5 linked regions of the Kluyveromyces lactis genome follow. The protein of the gene in region 1 interacts with the protein of each later gene in a pairwise test. Links are inferred from orthologs where the notes say so. Each region holds a gene or a part of one and is shown in the gene's direction. Other genes may lie near its edges.

Region 1 (4,284 bases):
TGTTATTGTTGAGATCGAAACAGTTGTCGTCGGTTGCAAAATATGATTCGTCGACCTGTATCATAACGTCCCAATGTGAGGGAACGTGAACACATATTTTTGAGCTTTGTTCGCCAAGCAAGCTGCCTCCACGGATTTTCTTACCAAATAGTTTTGAGATGCTGAAACTAACTTCTTTGCTTTGAGGTAACGGGAAACATTGGAACGCGTCGTGTGGTCTATTCGTGTCACAACGAAGTTCGTCGCCTGGTAAAGGCTTCGGAATTGGTCTGTCAGCTCTGGCCAAAGCATTTGGTACGTTGACCACTGTTTCGATAAATTCTTCCATAACAAAGTGGCAATTGGCAGTTGATTCGTCACAAACAGTATTGACATCAATCGACAGACTGTGCCAATTTGAATCAAAGATCTTGTGGCCATCTAACAAAGAGGAGATACCAGATTTCCCTCTTGTTGGTAAAAGTTTTACAAATGGGGTCAAATTTTCAGTACAAACCGGTTCGTTGGCTAAAGTTGCTCTCATGAGGTAAAGATGGTTGCTTTGATTCAGTAGTGGGATCGCTTCGTCTTCTTTCGGTAAGAATGATGATACCGGAAACGTCGTCTTTGAAGTGTCAATGAAATTGATGGAAGCACAGAACAATCCACTTAACGAATTGGCCAACGTTATCCATGATTTCAACGCTTCTTCCTTCGATGGTGCTTCCACAATAGCCCATAATTCCACACCTGTTCCTCCAGATTTCAACCCGTTGTGTGGAAGCTGGCCCCATTCTTGTGAATCCCATAGCCCATGTGTAAATCTCAAGTGTAACTGTCTGGTATTAGTCTGTGACATAATGGGCCCAACGGGCTTCGGGAAAACTGTGTGATGAGAGTATTCACTGGATTCGTGCTGGTCTCTATCTATACCAAATGGCTCTGATTGCATATAGAACTGAAAACTTGCAAGCAAAAAGTTGTTAGGCAAGGGAGTTAGATCCAGATGCTCTCGAAAATTATACTCAATAGGATGCTCTAGTGAAAGAAACTTCGAGGACTGTGTTATTCTCGATGATTCCCCAGGCTCTGCATTCCAGCTTTCATCTATAACATCTTGCTGAACTGATTCTGTTTCGTTGTCAACTGGATTAACTTCAAAGTCTACTTCAGCCGTCACGATGGCTGCTAGAAGCAAAACTGGAATCCAATTTTGTAACCTCATGCGGTATGGACCCAGAGTATAATACTTTTCTAAAAGTTAGGCTATTTTCTGGCCTCTTAACTAAACTATCCTCTTTTCTCTGTTGAGAAGTATCGTTCTTTGTTTTGTATATGTGTTTATAATTAAAGATTCGAGTTACAACTTAGTAACAATTTTGATGTCAAGAACCTTTGAATCAAAAGGAAGAAAGGTATAACTGAAAGGCAAGCACCAATCAGGATCTTTATTGCTATTGCCGAGTTTGGTATTAAACAGCTGTACTTAAAATGGAAGCTATCAAGTTCGAAAAGTCGGGCCAGCGACATTCTCTTACAGGACAATACACTGCTCCCAGAGCCATATTGGAATCGACTGTAGGGAAAGATGAGGGGGATGATGAGTTGACAGCCAACCAGAAGCAACGAAGCTTGTATAATAAACAGTCTGATTATCATAAGAGAAGGTTCCTTAGGAATTTGGATGAAGAAGTGGATGAAGAGCAAGTGAAAGATGTGAAAAGAAGGAAAACCGATAAGGATGGTGATAAGGAAGAGGAAAGTGGCGGTGGATATACGATGCCCAAGACTTCGCAGCATATTATAACTGAGCTCTCGGAAGAGATGGTTACTGAAGTTCCAGGGGTACGTAATCTTCAGTTCTTTAAGCCTTCAGACAGACAACATTTCGCAATTTTGTTTGATGAAAGGTCTCCAGAAGATATGACTGAAGAGGAAAGGAAACAGAAACAGGTTTTAAAATTGGTACTTAAGGTGAAAAATGGGTTACCAAGCTCTAGGAAAATAGCTCTCAGAGCACTCACTCAAAAGGCACCCTCTTTCGGGGCACCATTGTTATTTGATTCGATCTTGCCCATTCTTCTCGATAAAACACTTGAAGATGAAGAGCATCAACTAATGTTGAAACTTATGGATAGAATTCTTTTCCAGCTCCAGGATTTGGTAAAACCATATACACATAAGCTCCTAATAGTATTATGTCCTATGCTTATAGATCCTGTGCCCTTGACTAGATCTACAGGTAGAGATATTATAACTACTTTGGCAAAAGCCGTGGGACTACCGACAATGATATACACAATGAGACCAGATCTCGACCATGAGGATGAGTATGTGCGAAACACGACGGCGAGAGCAATGGCCGTTGTATCGAAAGCCTTCGGGGTAAGTCAAACAATACCATTCCTACGATTGGTTTGTAGATCGAAAAAGAGCTGGAAGGCAAGACATACTGGGATAAAGATAATTCAGCAAATTGCTATTTTAGTAGGGATTGGTAGCTTACCATACCTCGACGATCTTATCGCATGTATAGAGAAGGGATTTCAAGATGAACATCCTCCAGTGAGAATCATAGCCGCTCAAACAGTGTCATCATTGGCACAAAGCTGCCAGCCATATGGTATTGAGCGCTTTAATCCGGTCCTCGAACCACTTTGGAGAGGTGTTAAACAAAACAGGGGAAGAGAACTAGCTGCATTTTTGAAGGCTCTAGGATTTCTCATTCCGTTGATGGATCCCGAATATGCGTCGTATTACGCTGAAGAAGTGATGAAGATTGTAAAGAGAGAATTCAATTCACCGAACGAAGATATGAAGAAAACGGTTCTATTTGTTATACAAAAGCTTTCCGTGACTGAAGGTGTAACACCTCAGTATCTGAGAAAAGAGCTAGCAGCAGAGTTTTTCAAACAATTTTGGGTTCGTAGATCGGCTTTGGATCGTCAACTCAACAACATAGTAACATTTACTACTGTTTTATTGGCTAATAAGACTGGAGCTGCATTCACGCTTGAAAAGCTTATATATCCATTAAAGGATGAATCTGAACCGTTCAGAACAATGGGTGCACATGCAGTTAACAGAGTTGTGAAAGCATTAGGAATGACAGATGTTGATGAAAGGCTTGAAGCGAGGTTGCTTGATGCTTTACTTATTGCATTCCAAGATCAAACGAATGGTGAGAGAATTGTCTACAGATCTATTGGAACTGTCGCCAAATCTTTGAATACCAGAATGAAACCGTATATTTCGCCGGTGTCAAGTATTATTCTAGAACATTTGAAACACAAAAAACCTTTGGTTAGAACACATGCGGCGAGTTTATGTGCCCTCTTGATCCCGGTTTTCAAACACTGTGAAGAAACAGCTCTTATCAATAAATTCAACATTATCCTTTTTGAATCGTTAGGCGAAGTTTATCCAGAGGTGTTAGCTGCAATCATTTCCGCAATGGACAAAGCTGCTGCACAGATAAGGCTAACTGACTTACAACCACCTCCGAATCAAATTTTACTATCATTGACACCAATTTTGAGAAACAACCATCCTTTAGTCCAGGAATCTACTGTTAAACTTGTTGGAAGAATTGCCAGGCGTGGGCCTGAATATGTTTCTCCTAAAGAATGGATGCGCATTTGTTCTGAGCTTTTGGAAATGTTAAAAAGTCCTGTGAAGTCCATCAGGGTGGCAGCGAACAGAACATTTGGATATATTGCCAAAGCGATAGGACCTCAGGATGTTTTGGTAACGTTGTTAAATAATTTGAAGGTGCAAGAACGTCAACTTCGTGTTAACACCTCTATTGCAATTGGTATCGTTGCTAAGACATGTGGGCCATTTGTTGTCATACCTGCATTGATGAATGAATACAGAACACCTGACACAAACGTACAGAACGGTATTTTAAAGGCACTTGCCTTTATTTTAGAATACATTGGTCCCATGTCTAAGGATTACATTTATCCACTTATACCGTTGTTGCAGGATGCTCTAACAGATAGGGACTTGGTTCATCGACAAACTGCAGCAACCTGCATAAAGCATTTAGCTTTCAATTGTGCAGGAAGAGGATTAGAGGACGCGTTCATCCATTGCATGAATTTATTATTGCCAAACGTCTTTGAAACTTCACCTCATGTTATTTCCAGAATCCTAGAGGGGCTAGAAGGACTAAGAATGGCTCTAGGACCAGGTGTTTCTATGAATTATGCCTGGGGAGGTTTATTTCATCCTGCTAAGAATGTTCGGAACGCATATTGGAAACTATATAACGGAGCATACGTCGCTCAACCAGATGCTTTG
Region 2 (4,225 bases), about 110 kb from region 1:
TTTCCTGAAACCAGATGGTTCGTTCTTATAAAAAATTGATGGCTTCAAAACCATAAACCTTGAAAGACCCTTTTCCTTATTAAATATTAAGGCAATTTTTTGTTCTAAAGTATCATCTTTTTGTACTTGAAACGCATAATCGTACTCTAAATCATCATTCATACGCACGTAAACCTCCATTGCGACTAGTTTGCTATTGGTTATTGATGTTAATTTTCCCACAAAACCGGAAATATTCGCCTTCCTCTCTGATAAATCTTGAAAAAGTACTGAGTATAGTAACTAGCACTGCTTTGTTGTAATCTGATCTTAACCTTATACCGTCTCTGGTTGGTTCGGATGGCAAATTTGCTTTGGTGTAGTAAATTACACTCTAGAGTTCAGCCTTTTATCCTAGAAGAAAACATTTCGTACTTACCAAGTTTTAGCATATGTCATGTTTCCGTTATTATATATTATTAAGGTTTTTCCTGGTGAAAAGGAACGGACACACAGAGAGGAAGAAGAAAAAAATAAACACACACACAGAGCTGATCTGCCAATATGAGTCCACCCGATATCTGTATGCGGCCGATTAATATTTCCCCAGTAACAATGTATAAATCAACGTGTAGAGACAGACAAAGAGTTTTCTCATACTTGCTCCTCTGACCAGAAGAGAAAGTCAAAAAAACCAATACAGAGTGTCTACCAGTCAAGCTATGGCATTTGAATCCTCATACGGTGTTTTTCTTTTCTGAAGAAGAGAAACACCTACTTAGAGTTAGTAGCGTAATACGCCTTGTGCTTTGAACTTGGTGAACCATATTTACGTTTCTGCACCATCAGGTGCACATTTGTGGGGTTACCAAAACGTGATACCGTTTAACGACACCAGTGCCAGAGCCAGTGCCGGTAAGGGAACAAGTAGTATCGAATTACATGCTGATCTCGTAATGGATTAAAACAATGACTGTGTGCCTTTCTTTCTCAACGTACAAGCATGCCTGTACGCTCTCTTCATCGTAAGTTTTTCCGTCCATATGGAGCGATAAACAGCCTTTGCGTATGTTTCTGTGTTTTCTTATTCCGCTTTGAACGAGCACTTCGCTCCTGCTCCAACAGAAGTTTTTCCGAAACAATGTGGAGTCTCATGTCATTCTGGTCACGTGATCGCATCTTTTCGTGTGACGTGATGTCAGGGTAACATGTTGTTGACTTTTTGGGATTTGTTGGTCACGTGTAAGTTTTTGAAATAGTATTTCCTAACTTCTTCATAAGGGCGGCAAAAAACCAAATCTGAAAGTAAACAAAGTAACTAACAACAGCGCACTTCTTGAGTGCAAGTTGACGAACAACACTACTGATTACCATCAGTATACACCTCTGATCATCGTCTGAAGCGTGTGTTTAGTTACCCGCTAACGAAGATCGGATGACTCAGGACTCTGAAGTGTTGCTATGGCACACTGTTTTACAACGACATAGGAACTACGTTCATTCCTGCATCGGTGATTTTACTTTGGATAGATCATCATTAGCGACAGCAGAAGCTGATACAACAAGTGTTAAGGGACCGAGGTCATCGAAGAAGCGGAAGGAACTGCAATTATGTCTAGCTACACAGGATTGTGTCGAATTGTACGATGTTAGCAATGGAACATTGGATGCGTTGGGTAAATGGCCTATAGCAGCTACTATTCTTTCTATGACCAAGTTGAATATGGATAGATGTTCACATACGATTTTGGTGTTGATAACTGATTCTGGGAATTTAACATTTTGGCAGTTTGAGAGGGATTCCGTGAGCGGGAAAGTGTACGTGCGTACTTTGGCAAACGAACCGATTTCCAGATCTGGGATCAGAAGGTTTGTACCTCAATATCAAATGGTTTCGGATCCACAGAGTAGATGTGTATTTTTCAGTGGGATTGAGCGTTCAAAGATGTGCGTGTTGGCTGACTGGCAACGTGGGAAATTGGTTGTTGGTTCTCCTATAGAGATTCAACGAAGTGATAGAATCACTTTGGCATCGGCAGCTTGTGATGTAAGTTTTGATAATCCGGTGAATGCTGCCATAGAGGTAGAATCTGGGACAAATGATTACTATTTGTCTTTTTATACAATGGATTTGGGTCTTAACACGTTGCTACTCCGGAAAGAGCATCTTTTAGAGGATAAATCCATCAATTTCGTTATGCAATGCCCAAATTTACAACAGTATAAGATTAAAACTAGACCGAATGATGAAACTGATCAAGATTCGGTAAATCCATTTGTTATTTGTGGTTATGATGGATACTTGACTCTGATAGACTTAGAAGGCTTTTATGAAGTGTCTGTTCAACTCCCCGTCAGAAAAACTGTTTCGTCAACTAATATCATCAACGGTACTATTCATAAATTGAAGAAAGATTTTTTCATCCTAATGCAGTCTAACCACGGAGATATGTACAAGGTCGGAATTATCCCTGATGAAGAAACTAAGGCGCCAGTTCTTGAAATTGCATACTTTGATACACTCCCCACTTCTGAAGACATCCACATTTTCAAGTCAGGTGCTCTTTTCAACGTATCAGAATTCGGGACCTCTTATTTAACACAGTTCGAAAGTCTTGGTGAAGATCTAGAAAAAATTACATCTTATACCCCGGGAAGGAGATCATTTATTGAAACAGAGTCCACTTTGAAAAACCTATCCATTCTTGACTCCTTAACTTCTTTAAATCCCTTGACGTCATTTCATGCATCAAATTCGACACCACTCACGATATTGGCTGCAGCCAATCAAACTGAGAATCTTGTTAAATTGACTTCTGCGGTTGATTTTGAAGAACTTATATCAACTACATTACCTAGAATACCATCAAAACTTTGGACCGTTAGAATTCCTAAAAACGAAACTCACAGTCTGATATTTCTTTCTATGGAAACCTCAACGACCATCTTGAAGATCCATGAGGGAACTGTCGAAGATTTTGGTGGAGATTCAAACCCATTTATTTTGAACAAACCATCATTGTTTGTTGGCGCTATGGTTCAAAGAAGTATTATTCAAGTTACTCGGGATTGTCTTTTACAAATTATTGAAATGCATGATGGTCCATACACCAAAAAACTTGAATGGTATCCACCAGCTGGTGTTGGCATCGTGACAGCATTTTGTAATGAGACACAGTTAGTTGTCGCTTTAACAAATCATGAAATATGCTATTTTGAAATCATAGAAGATTCGTTAAACGAATTACAGGATCGAGTGGAGATGGATTCTACAGTGAATTCTATTGCATTGCTCGCCGGTCAAAAGTCAGGCTATTGTGTATTAGGATGTGAAGATTCTAGTCTGCAGATTCTCAACTTACAGAGTAAACATCCAGATTTTTTCACTATCTGTGCTATTCAGTCACTAATATCAAAACCGCACTCTCTACTTTTCATGCGGGACACGTCGGATCTTAAGATCCACGTAGGTATGAAAAGTGGTGTTTATCTGTCATCTAAACTCAATATCAATGATGGCACAGTGTTCGATGTACGTACTAGATTTGTCGGAACGAAGCCCGTCCAGGTAAATCTCTTGGACAATATAGATATCAATCACAAAGATGATGATGATGATGAACCTGGAGAAAATGATTCAAAAATAGACGATTTCAAGAAGAAGATTTCGGATTTCACTCCACTAGTGGTATTGAATTCAAGCATATCTTGGGTAACTTACGAAATTGATGATAAAATCACATTACGTCCTTTGAAAACAGATGAGGGGATAACCTTGAAACATATAAATGCTTTTATCACGGATGATATCAAGCGCAACGGCTGCTGTTCCATAACCAGCAAAGGGCAACTCCTAATCGGCAAATTAGATAACTTTTTGTCCTGGAGTAACTGGTTCAATGAGAAAAAGTATACCCTTGTTAATGACGAACTTAAAAACGCTGGCAATGAAGAAGAGGATGAAGATGAGGATGAAGATGAGGATGAAGATGCAAGTGAGAAGTACGAAATCGTTGGTTATCAATCACAACGGATCCTTTCAGATACAACGGACAATTCGTTATCATATGTTATTTCAAAGACAGCTAATAAAGAAACCAGTCTATCAGCTATTCGCGATGATAAGCTATTGGCAACAAACAATGGGAATACGGTCGTGATTATTGCTAAAGAGGTCTTTAATGCTGTCTGTAGTTGCAATTTCGGTACAAATGTTAAATATATTGTCATATCTACTGAATCAGGG
Region 3 (4,015 bases), on another chromosome or scaffold:
CATTGGAAATGTCAATACCAATAAACTGTGATATTCCTGCGGCACCATATTTCCTTAAATCACCACCTTTACCACAGGCAAGCTCCAAGACTACATCTCCTGCTCTTGTAAACTTGTCAATGAGAATGTACTTGATAGCATTATTAAAGTTTCTAAGTTTAATGATAGGAGAATAATTTCTGTTATGCTTTTTGGAAAGAAACGTACGCTCATTATAATGTTGCCTGACAACATGGTCAACATTCACGACTCTATTAGCTGTCATTTCAATATCATGATGTTTTATTTGTTCTTCTATAGTCTTCTGCAGCCTCAGCTTTTTCTTCTTCTCTTCTAAATCAAATCGCTGATGTTTCCTGTTGCGCACCTTGCTATTTTTGTCGTCATCTTGAACTTCTGGTACTGAAAGCTTTGCTATTCTTTCCTGCGTCGAATATCCGATGCTACTTTCTTTGGGTTGTAATGCTAGCTGTTTGTCCTCATGATTGCACTTCTCTGATTCTTTCAATTTAAGCAACGAACCATATTGCTCTTCATATTGTTGCTGGGACATCCATACTGGCTTCTCAGGTAGTAACACCATGCTGACAGCTTGCGCAATTGATATGTCGCGGCCTGTTTCGAAAGCCTTATTGAACTCCAAGTCAGTGTTACCTTCTTGGAATGAAACTACTTTTATGACATTCTAAAGATCGACTATATAGAAATATTAACGGGAAAGCTAAACTAAAAAAGGCTAAATCGCTTAGGGAATGATGGGATCAGGCATTTACAAAAGAAGTATGCTGTTTAACGTATAGGATGCTTCAGCTTCATTTCCATATTCGAATGTTTCATGAAGAGTCCTTTCAACTGCTCTCATATAGCATTTTTTAATCCTTGTACATTTTGACTTCAGATGTCACTTTGGAAGTTGTTATTTAAGACTAAATGAAGAAATAATGAATAGATGCTTTAGAAGATCAGTCAACTTTAGACACTATAACAAAGAATATAGACAATTGTCATATGAACTGAATGCAATGAACTAGGTAGCGTGTTTCCCATCTTCATTTAGTAGTTTAAAATACCCATTTGGAAAGGATTTCCTTCAATATCAAAATACCTATAATATTGAATTAACAAAACCTTAAAACCATTCAGGATTAATACTTGAAAGATAGCACACAGAAAGAAGAAAAAAGACCCAATTAAATTACGAAGGTGAGCGTTATGGATCAAACGGAAAAGCTACGGATTAGGCAAGAGAAACTTGCTAAGTGGAAAAAACAGAAACTGAATAATGATGTTACAGCATCTGTTTCTGTAGATGCTAAGGAAGAGAGACTGAAGAAACTAGAGGCATGGAAGAAGAAGAAGAAACAACAAGATGAACTCAAGCAAAAGGATATAAAACTTACCAGTATAAAGTCTGCGGATAGGGACAGGAACAAACGAAGGGGACAGTGTTCGAGAAAACGTCCTGCTTTTGGGGGAAGTGATAGTGAATCTGATGATGAAAATTCCACATCAACGTTATTCAAGCCGCGTAGAAACGATACAAATACTCATGTTCTGACAAAAGACAACAGCAAGGATGATTTGGATGATGGGAATGATGCATTGGATGAATATATCCACAAGCTTATCGATAAAGATTCGAATACTAACCGAGTAAGACTTATTGATAATATTTCAGAGGATGAAGATGCTAACGACAGTAGCTCAGAGAAAACGATATCTCAAGAGGAAGCTCCGGTTGATTCAGAGATATTATTCAAAAAGAAGGGTAGAAAGAAAATAAAAGCCATTGATTACTCTAAAGTTTTAAACTTAATAACATTAAATAAATGTCTTTATCGTGAACCGAACGATTTGGGATTGATGTCAGAGAAAGATGTGGAGGAACTTCGATTATCATTAGATAACATTAAAATCTCAGGGAAAGATTGTCCCAAACCTGTAACGAAATGGTCACAGCTTGGTTTGTCCTCTGAAATCATGGATCTTATCTCCAACGAACTACAGTTTGTAACCCTCACACCAATTCAATGCCAGGCAATACCGGCTATTATGTCAGGCAGAGATGTTATTGGTATCTCAAAAACTGGGTCAGGGAAAACGGTCGCTTTTCTCCTACCACTTGTTAGACAGATCAAGGCTCAGCCACCTTTAGCTCCTGATGAGACTGGTCCTATTGGTCTTATATTGACACCGACCAGAGAATTGGCCGTTCAGATACAAGAAGAGGCACTTAAATTTTGTAAAGGGTCTGGCATTTCAAGCATCTGTTGCGTGGGAGGCTCGGAGTTAAAGCAACAAATCAATGAATTGAAAAGAGGTGTTGATATCATTGTCGCAACTCCAGGGAGATTCATTGATCTTATGACATTAAATTCAGGCCATTTGTTATCTCCTACAAGAATTTCGTTTGTTGTTATGGATGAGGCAGATAGACTTTTCGACCTTGGATTTGGACCCCAAGTCAACCAAATTATGGGCTGCATCCGTCCAGACAAGCAGTGTGTTCTCTTTAGTGCTACATTTCCAAGTAAGCTCAAACATTTTGCATCGCGAACCTTAAAGAATCCTATTCAAATTACTATAAACTCTAAATCACTTATTAATGAGAACATTCAGCAGAGAGTCCAAATTTTTGATGAGGAACATGTTAAATTTGAGTTCCTACTTAAAAGGCTTTCGGATCGGTTAGCCTTGCATCGTGGTGAAGATGAAAAGACAATTATTTTCGTTGGAAGCCAGCAGCTTTGTGACCTTTTATATGACGAGCTTTTACTTAATGGCATCACCACTTTTCCTATCCATGCTGGCAAACCTTCTGCAGAACGTCTTCGCAACTTGCAAAAATTCAAAGAAACTGACAACGGAATTTTGATATGTACTGAGGTACTCTCAAGAGGTCTAAACGTGCCAGAGGTTTCTCTTGTCATTATATACAATGCGGCAAAGACCATCGCACAATACGTTCATACCGTAGGAAGAACTGGTCGTGGGACTAATAACGGCGTTGCGCTCTCCTTCGTTATGGTTGATGAACTTGCATCTGCCTATATTTTGGTGAAGTGCATGAAAGAGAACGAGTTGAGCTCTGTGCCGATGGTTGTCTATCAAAAATTGAAGGAAATGAACGACGAATTTTCGAGTGGACTAAAGACTGGAAAATACAGATTGATCCAGGGTTTTGGTGGAAAAGGTCTTGATCACTTAGACGAGCTAAACGAAGCAAAACAGTCTCAAGAATATACTGACTATGGTGTCGTTGAAAATGAAGAAGATGTGACAGAGGAAGAAAGCGGAGCAACCAAAATGGAATACACAAGAGGTAAAAGGGAAGAAGGACATTCCACAACATATTTTGCACATATAAATATTAACGACCTTCCGCAACTTGCGAGGTGGGAAGCAACGAAAACAGAGACAGTCTCGAACATCAAACAGGAGACAGGATGTAATTTTGAGAGTAAAGGTAGCTTCTACCCTGAAGGAAAAGGGCCAAAGAATGACACTGATGATCCTAAATTGTATTTGATTGTGGAAGGTGCAGAAGAAAGTGACGTAACAATGGCATTAGAACTCCTCAATACAAAGGTTAAAGAGGGAATACGAAAAGCAGCAGTGAAGGATATCCAATCAGGTAAATATCGTATGTAATTTAGTTTCAATTTCAATCATTCACCAACATGTTTCATTTCTGCGCAATTTCCATCACATGCGTTTTCCTGGATTTGGCACGCTCATGGGCTAGTTTCTGACTCAATTCACTTTTGGCGTTGGCAGCTTCAAGTTTAGCATTTCGCTGTTCAGCGGCCACTCTTGCAGCTTCTCTTGGAGATAAGGTATGGTGACTTTGCGTGACATCAATCGGTCTTCCCGTGCTCTTTTTTGATGTAGTTTTGTTATTTGATTTTGGTGCTGAACTATCAGCGGCCAACGGCACACCTTTACTAGGCTTACTACCACATAGACCCATCGGCAGTATGACTTAGCAATGGCTTCTCTTTTTTCGTTCTATCCT
Region 4 (4,060 bases), on another chromosome or scaffold:
AGCACAAAACAATATGTACGCTACTCCGTTGCAGCTAAGAATTCTGTCCAATCCATTCAATAGTCTCTGTGTGACCACCATCCCATCATCACCACCATCCAATGCTAGAAAGAGCCACTCATCATCACGAACAGCATGATTTGAATGAGGCAGTTCTGGTACAGTTTCTGCAGGTACATATGGTGGATTAAAGACAAGCAGGTCGACCTCATTTTCCCTTATTGAAGACGTAAGGTCTGTTTGTAATACATCAAAATGGCTATTCTTGCAACCATTCTTCGAACAAGTGTCTAAGGTAGCGTCCAATGCCCAAGGGTTCAAATCAGTTGCCAAATAAAGTCCATTGGCGTTTGGTATACCATTTTGCATAAGAAACGTAGAGACTATCCCAGAACCAGAACCAATTTCTATAGTCAATGGTACTGCGTCATTGAACCTGTTATTCAACCAACTCAGATCAGCTTCTAATGCATCTAATAAAAGAAAAGAGTCCTCGCTTGGCTCGTATACTTTATTATAATCATAAGAGACGTATGGTGTAGCTAGCATCGCCCTGTTATCCTAAGCCCTGATGAGCTATAGCTCGCATCAATATCTGTTCTGCACCTGTATCTTTTCAAACATGGAAGTCATCGCATATATAATATTGTATTTGAAAAGTTGATATTGAACAATAACGTATGCAAAAGGTCATCTAAAAGAAAGTAATTAAATTGAAGCTTAACAACTAGTCTACTGTTTGATACAACTATTAATCACCATTTTCAGAGAATCGACAATCAGTTGCTTGTTTGTGGTTGAGAAAGATGCAATTAAAGGTCAAGACATTAACAGGGAAGGAAATCTCCGTAGATGTTCAAAGTTCAGAAACGGTCTATCATATCAAAGAGCTATTAGAAGAAAAAGAGGGTATTCCACCATCACAGCAGAAGTTGATCTTCCAGGGCAAACAAATGTATGTTAATTAACTGATAATTCAGAACTGAGAAGAGTTTGATATCAAATTAATGTAGGGACTCTTTTACTAACTAGTAAGTAATGCTATCTTTAAATCAGAGATGATAACGCAACAATCGGCAGTGCCGACTTGCAAGATGGATCTCTTTTACATCTTGTTCTAACTTTAAGAGGCGGTTGTTGAGAGCCATGTGTCATTGCATTGCGAAACCTCAAGATACGTATGTGTATAAGTATTTTGCAGATAAATACCTGGAGGAATTACTCTGCATTTAATAAAACGACTATAATTATTGGAAGCTAACACTATGAATGACATAATTTACATTTACACGACCGTCCAATTATCAAACAAAGGAAGGATGTAACACATGCTTGTTGCTTTTCCTTGTATGCATGAATGAACCTTATAAATACATAATGATTCAGATATCAAATTTAGTGCGAACATTATAATTGTAGAAACAGATGAACTTAACGACAACGATGCAAACAAAAGTAAGAAAAACACGGATAACTTACCTGACTATACTGTAACATGGGTGACAATAGTTTATCCAATGAAGCCATCACTGCCGATAATATTTTGAAGGATGCCTTTAGCCAAAAGAAGCAGATTGCAGCTACTACGAAGGCAGATATATTAGATTTGGAAGAACTGAAAGACTGGCAACGAAGGAAAAGAACAGAGTATGAGACAGTTTTGAAAAGAAATAGGTTAGACCTTCGTCAATGGATGAGGTATGCTCAATTTGAATTTGATCAGAAAGATATACGAAGAGCTAGGTCCATTTATGAACGCGCTCTTCTTGTTGATCATGGGTTTATTCCACTATGGATTCAATACATCGACAGTGAAATCAAATGGAAAAATATCAACCATGCAAGGAACTTGTTAGACAGAGCAACAAACGCTCTTCCTCGTGTTGATAAGCTCTGGTTCAAATATCTTTTATTGGAAGAATCTTTGGGAAATCAGGGTATTGTACGAGGCATTTATACAAGATGGTGTTCATTTGAACCTGGTCCCGATGCATGGGACTCCTTCATCGAGTTCGAAACAAGGTGCTTGAATTTTGAAAATGTCAGGAACATTTACTCGAAGTTTGTTCTAGTCCATCCTCAAATAGATACCTGGTTGAAATGGGTTCGTTTTGAACAAACTCATGGAGATATATCATCCGTACGAACAGTGTTCTCATTCGCGCTAGACACACTCACAAGTTTCAGCGGAACACCACTGGTAGATATTGAACGAGTTATTGGTAGCTTCGCTTCCTGGGAAGCTTCTCAGGGAGAGTATGAACGATCTAGAACGTTATACCGACTAGCAGTTGAAAGATGGCCAATTTCTGAAGCATTAAAGGAACAGCAGATTCAGTTCGAGAAGAAGTTCGGCTCTTCGAAAAATATGGAGGACATAGTAATCGCTAAAAGGAAAGCCGAGTACGAGCAATATCTAAAATCAGATCCCTATCATTATTCTACTTGGTGGGTCTATATTGACCTGGTTGAGGAAAAATATCAAGAGCAATTGACATCAGCTTTCCAGTCGTTCATTGAATTGGCAAAGCCGAAGTCCCTGGTAAAGGATTCGAGCTGGAAGAGGTACATAAGAATCTGCGTACGATACTTGGTCTATCTAGAGCTCACCATTAATGATTTGCCTACGATACGCTCGGTTTATCAAGACATCCTCGACATCATTCCACATAAGAAGTTTACATTCGGTAAACTGTGGATAATGTATGCAGAATTCGAAATTAGGCAGAACAACTTGCTGAAAGCAAGAAAAATTCTGGGTGTGAGCTTAGGAAAGTCCCCCAAGCCAAAAGTGTTTAAATATTACATCAATTTGGAGATAAGGCTAAAAGAGTTTGATAGAGTGAGAAAGCTATACGAGAAATACATCGATTTCAATCCTAGTTCAGTGCAATCATGGTTGGATTATGCAGAATTAGAAGAAAATTTAGGAGATGAAGATAGATCAAGAGGGATCTATGATATCTCCATGAGCAATAATGTTGGATTATCTGAATCGGACCAGCTGATTGTCATTCAGCGCTATATCGCTTTTGAAACTGATGCAGCAGAATATGAAAAGGCTAGAGAGTTGTACGAGAAGTATTTGATTTTGAGTAGATATGACGTGAACATATGGATAAACCAGGCGCTTTTCGAGAGCACTATTCCAACTGAGACCCAACTAATAGCCTATCAACAATCTCATCAAGACGGGAATTTTGACGACGATGGCGAAGAGGAGTTCAGTTTTGAAATTACACCTGAGAATAAGCATCACACCAGGGCTATTTTTGAGAAGGCAATTTCATATTTCAAAGAACATAATGAAGATAAGAAACGCCAGCAAGTTTTACAATCTCTCCTGGAGTATGAGAAAGTTCATGGTAATCAAGAAACTTTGGAAAAGGTCAATGCTAGACAACCAAGTTTGGTTAGGGAAAAAGTTACTATCGATAACATTGAGCAAGAGTCATATAAATTGGATTTTCCGGACGATCGTGTTGCTCAACCTCCTATTGCTCGAAATCTTCTAGCTTTGGCAAAACAATGGGAGAAAAATTCCAGCTGATATGTAACTTTATATTCATATACAGATAATACAATTGTAGATTTAGAACACGCATTTAATCAGGTTGGCATATAGGCTATTGAGAAAAAATACGAATTGTATTAATTATTCGTTTCATTATCGGTAAAACTTTGTGGCAACTGGTTTGACGGTATCGAACTGGGTGTTGATATCGTAGAAGGGGTAAGCCCAGGTGCATTCATTGTCGGTACAGATCCTGGGGGCATTAATCCTGGAGGAACGTTGCCTGGTGCTGCTGCCAATCCTGGTGCTGCCAATCCTGGTGCTGCCAATCCTGGTGCTGCCAATCCTGGTGCTGCCAATCCTGGTGCTGCCAATCCTGGTGCTGCCAATCCTGGTGCTGCCATTCCTGGTGCTGCCATTCCTGGTGCTGCCATTCCGGGAGGAGATAAACCTGGGGGTGCCATTCCTGGAGTAGCAATATTTAAGTTTCCTTCAGTGATACCTATTCCAGACGTTGAATTTTCTGCAGCCAGAGATTCGGATCTG
Region 5 (2,682 bases), on another chromosome or scaffold:
TCTAGCTAATACGTCCTTTTATCTGGTGAATATCTTCAATTCGTTTTCATTCCAAGTGAAATTGCCATCGTCAACGATGTCATTCAATTTGGAGTTCCTGAAGTAAAATTCTCTTTCAGATATAGGCACTAAATTATTCGTAGCTTCGAGAAACCGTGTTTTTGTTTTCTGATAAAGCAATTTCCTCGACTCCTCTTTGTCGTCCAATCTTTCTTGGGTGGTTGGGAAGTTAAGCCTTCCATATCCAGGAGGAGATTTTGATCTAACACGTAGATTATCGAAGGAATCGTCAGGAAACTGAAGGTCGGGAACTTTTGACCTGTCTGACACACTAGTTTCGTCGACAGTTTCGAGTAACCCGGTACTGTTTAGTACAACGTTTTGTTTACTTTTCAGTGGTGATCCAGCTTGAGCGTGAAAACGAGCTACTTTATTGGATTTCTTGCATCCCCTTCCTCGATTTTTTGAGGACACTAGTTCATTGATCTTGAAATCTTCATAGATCCAAGGTTTCTTCGTAATTGGATTTATGGAGAAATCAACCGAGATTTTACCCCTTTTAATATTCTCCTTCTCATTGTTCCTATTAGCTTGTGGCATAGTAGTTGCATTTATTGGTGACCTACCACGTTTAGATTTTGCTATGACACTCTGATGTGAATGTTGTATGTTGATATCATTCTCCTTCAAGATGTCTGACGCTTGGGAATCAAGGATAATCTCGTTTTCTTTCAAAGGGGAACTCATCAGCTCTAAATCACGTTGTAGTCCTTGATTACGTTCTCTTGCCAATGGTTCAGCGTGTTCTTGTTCAATAGTACTTTTCACAGTCGCGTTTTTCTTCACATGTATTGGATCAAACTGAGTAGACGGGAGGTCATCATAGCTGCTAAGACCGTCCTTCATGTATTCATCCAAGTCATCTTGAATATTCTGTCCCTGTGGCTGAATTATTTCGACGTACCGTCGATCCATTTCCGATACTAATTGTTTTTGTAAAGAAAGTAACTGAGACCATTCTAATCGATGTAGCCATGCCTCTAGGCTTTCCTCTGATTCTTGACTCATCGCAGTAAAGATTCTTGCCAAGCAGAATCCTGAGAACTCAATATGTGTCCACAGTAAGGGTCTAACAAACTAGCTACAGTACAAAGTGGTGACGCGAAACCTTAGCTCTTTATCGAACTAACAGTTACATTGTTGATATTTTATGCTTTTTTCTGGAAAAGAAAACCTTATTTTGATTTCAGATTAAGGCTAACATGGCTATAGAGCTCCCCAACAGAAGCAGATTCTCAGATGTTTACATAGCTGTAGAGCTTATCACAGCATTTAGGGTGGGTAGAATTGCAAACCGACCCAATTAATATAATGTCACTTAACGATTTTTTGGCGAAGTCTTACGGCTCAAAGCACGGTAAAGAGAAGACGAAAAAGTCTAAGGATAAGTCATCACACAGAAAGAGCGATGAGTCTAAAAGAGTCACATCAAGAAATATTGATATTATTGACAAGGCTAATCTTATTACTGAAGAAAACAAGAAGGCTGCAAGCTCAAATAAAACAGGAAAGTCTCTTTGGAAAAACCTTGAAACTGAAAAGTTGGAACTTGTACAACACGTTGATGTCGACAAAAAGGACGATAGTAAGGAAAGGATGTCGTCAGGCGCCTTTGCTGGGTTACAGACAGCAGAAGAGATGGAAAAGCAGATCGCAGAAAAGGAAAAACTTTCTATGCAAAAATCAGGGCTTCTCAAGAAGAATCAGAACACAGTATATAGAGACGAAAAAGGTAAGGTAATAGATGGATACGAAGAAGAATTGAAACTTCGAGAAAAGGCTAATTTGACAGCGAAAGTACGTAAGGAAGAAGAACTTAAAATACGAAATATAGGCGAAGTACAAATATCAAAACTTGATCGCAAAACTGAGAAAAGTGCATTATTATCAACCGAAGATCCATTGAATCAAGGAAACACCCTGCGAGGAACGAATACGTCACTGTTGGGTCGAAGGCTTTACGAGAAAAACTTTCCAGAAAATCGGTTCGGTATCGTTCCCGGTTATAGATGGGATGGAGTTGATAGATCAAATGGGTTTGAAACTAAGTGGTTTGCTAAGAGTCACGATATCGCTGATCAAAAAATAAAGGAACAAACAACAAACCGGGAATTTTGAAAAGTTGAACCTGAAAGTGTCTCTATTCTTATATACTAAGCATTATTTACTGAAGTGATATAATATTTACTGTTAATAGTCCATTCAAACCAACATTCAGGTTTCAGTTTTTTTAGGAGAATTTTTGAAATGACCACCCCTCCCGGAGGCACCACGACCACGATTACTACGGCCACGACGACCGCCACGAGAATGAGAAGATCTCTTTGTATCATCTGAGTCTTTATTCTCCACATTTGCTGTACGTCCATTCTCATCTCTAATTAGGAGATTCTTAAGATTCCTGGATGCCTCTTTATCTAATGGTGGATTTTGTACAGGTTGTGACTGAGGAGGAGCTGCATAAGCAATATGCTCATTATTCGGAATGAAAGGCGGCTGCATCATAAGAGGATGAGGAATACCACCAGGAACCATATGTGGGGGAACAGTGAAATTGTAAGGCAGAGAATTTGCTGGAGGTGGTTGAATTTGCTGTTGAGAACCTGGTTTGATTTGGTTCAA

What was found.
Region 2: the proteins of HSH155 (region 1) and RSE1 interact in binary tests that used the Saccharomyces cerevisiae proteins (3 or more experiments, as listed by UniProt). The link is inferred for Kluyveromyces lactis from reciprocal best matches to the Saccharomyces cerevisiae genes HSH155 and RSE1.
Region 3: the proteins of HSH155 (region 1) and PRP5 interact in a two-hybrid assay, tested with the Saccharomyces cerevisiae proteins (3 studies listed by BioGRID). The link is inferred for Kluyveromyces lactis from reciprocal best matches to the Saccharomyces cerevisiae genes HSH155 and PRP5.
Region 4: the proteins of HSH155 (region 1) and CLF1 interact in a two-hybrid assay, tested with the Saccharomyces cerevisiae proteins (2 studies listed by BioGRID). The link is inferred for Kluyveromyces lactis from reciprocal best matches to the Saccharomyces cerevisiae genes HSH155 and CLF1.
Region 5: the proteins of HSH155 (region 1) and BUD13 interact in binary tests that used the Saccharomyces cerevisiae proteins (3 or more experiments, as listed by UniProt). The link is inferred for Kluyveromyces lactis from reciprocal best matches to the Saccharomyces cerevisiae genes HSH155 and BUD13.

Annotation. Positions count from the first base shown.
Region 1 is NC_006037.1:834,183-838,466, forward strand, and holds the start of HSH155 (U2 snRNP complex subunit HSH155), read left to right. Parts: upstream 1-1,470; coding exon 1,471-4,284. Other genes in the region: GPI-anchor transamidase subunit GPI16, read right to left, coding at 1-1,204. UniProt on the Saccharomyces cerevisiae protein: Contacts pre-mRNA on both sides of the branch site early in spliceosome assembly.
Region 2 is NC_006037.1:720,803-725,027, forward strand, and holds the start of RSE1 (U2 snRNP complex subunit RSE1), read left to right. Parts: upstream 1-1,414; coding exon 1,415-4,225. Other genes in the region: GSF2 (Gsf2p), read right to left, coding at 1-180. UniProt on the Saccharomyces cerevisiae protein: Involved in G2/M transition. Required for pre-mRNA splicing and endoplasmic reticulum (ER) to Golgi secretion pathway. U2 snRNPs associated protein required for the pre-spliceosome assembly.
Region 3 is NC_006042.1:966,372-970,386, reverse strand, and holds PRP5 (DEAD-box RNA helicase PRP5), read left to right. Parts: upstream 1-1,212; coding exon 1,213-3,651; downstream 3,652-4,015. Other genes in the region: ABD1 (mRNA (guanine-N7)-methyltransferase), read right to left, coding at 1-583; KLLA0_F10483g (uncharacterized protein), read right to left, coding at 3,686-3,970.
Region 4 is NC_006042.1:1,644,097-1,648,156, forward strand, and holds CLF1 (Clf1p), read left to right. Parts: upstream 1-1,495; coding exon 1,496-3,550; downstream 3,551-4,060. Other genes in the region: MTQ2 (S-adenosylmethionine-dependent methyltransferase), read right to left, coding at 1-549; NEDD8 family protein RUB1, read left to right, coding at 807-955, 1,057-1,141; mRNA splicing protein MSL5, read right to left, coding at 3,652-4,060. UniProt on the Saccharomyces cerevisiae protein: Involved in pre-mRNA splicing and cell cycle progression. Required for the spliceosome assembly by promoting the functional integration of the U4/U6.U5 tri-snRNP particle into the U1-, U2-dependent pre-spliceosome.
Region 5 is NC_006042.1:2,095,189-2,097,870, reverse strand, and holds BUD13 (Bud13p), read left to right. Parts: upstream 1-1,371; coding exon 1,372-2,178; downstream 2,179-2,682. Other genes in the region: ssDNA endodeoxyribonuclease SAE2, read right to left, coding at 19-1,068; chromatin-binding exonuclease XRN1, read right to left, coding at 2,275-2,682. UniProt on the Saccharomyces cerevisiae protein: Required for efficient splicing and pre-mRNA nuclear retention. May also be involved in positioning the proximal bud pole signal.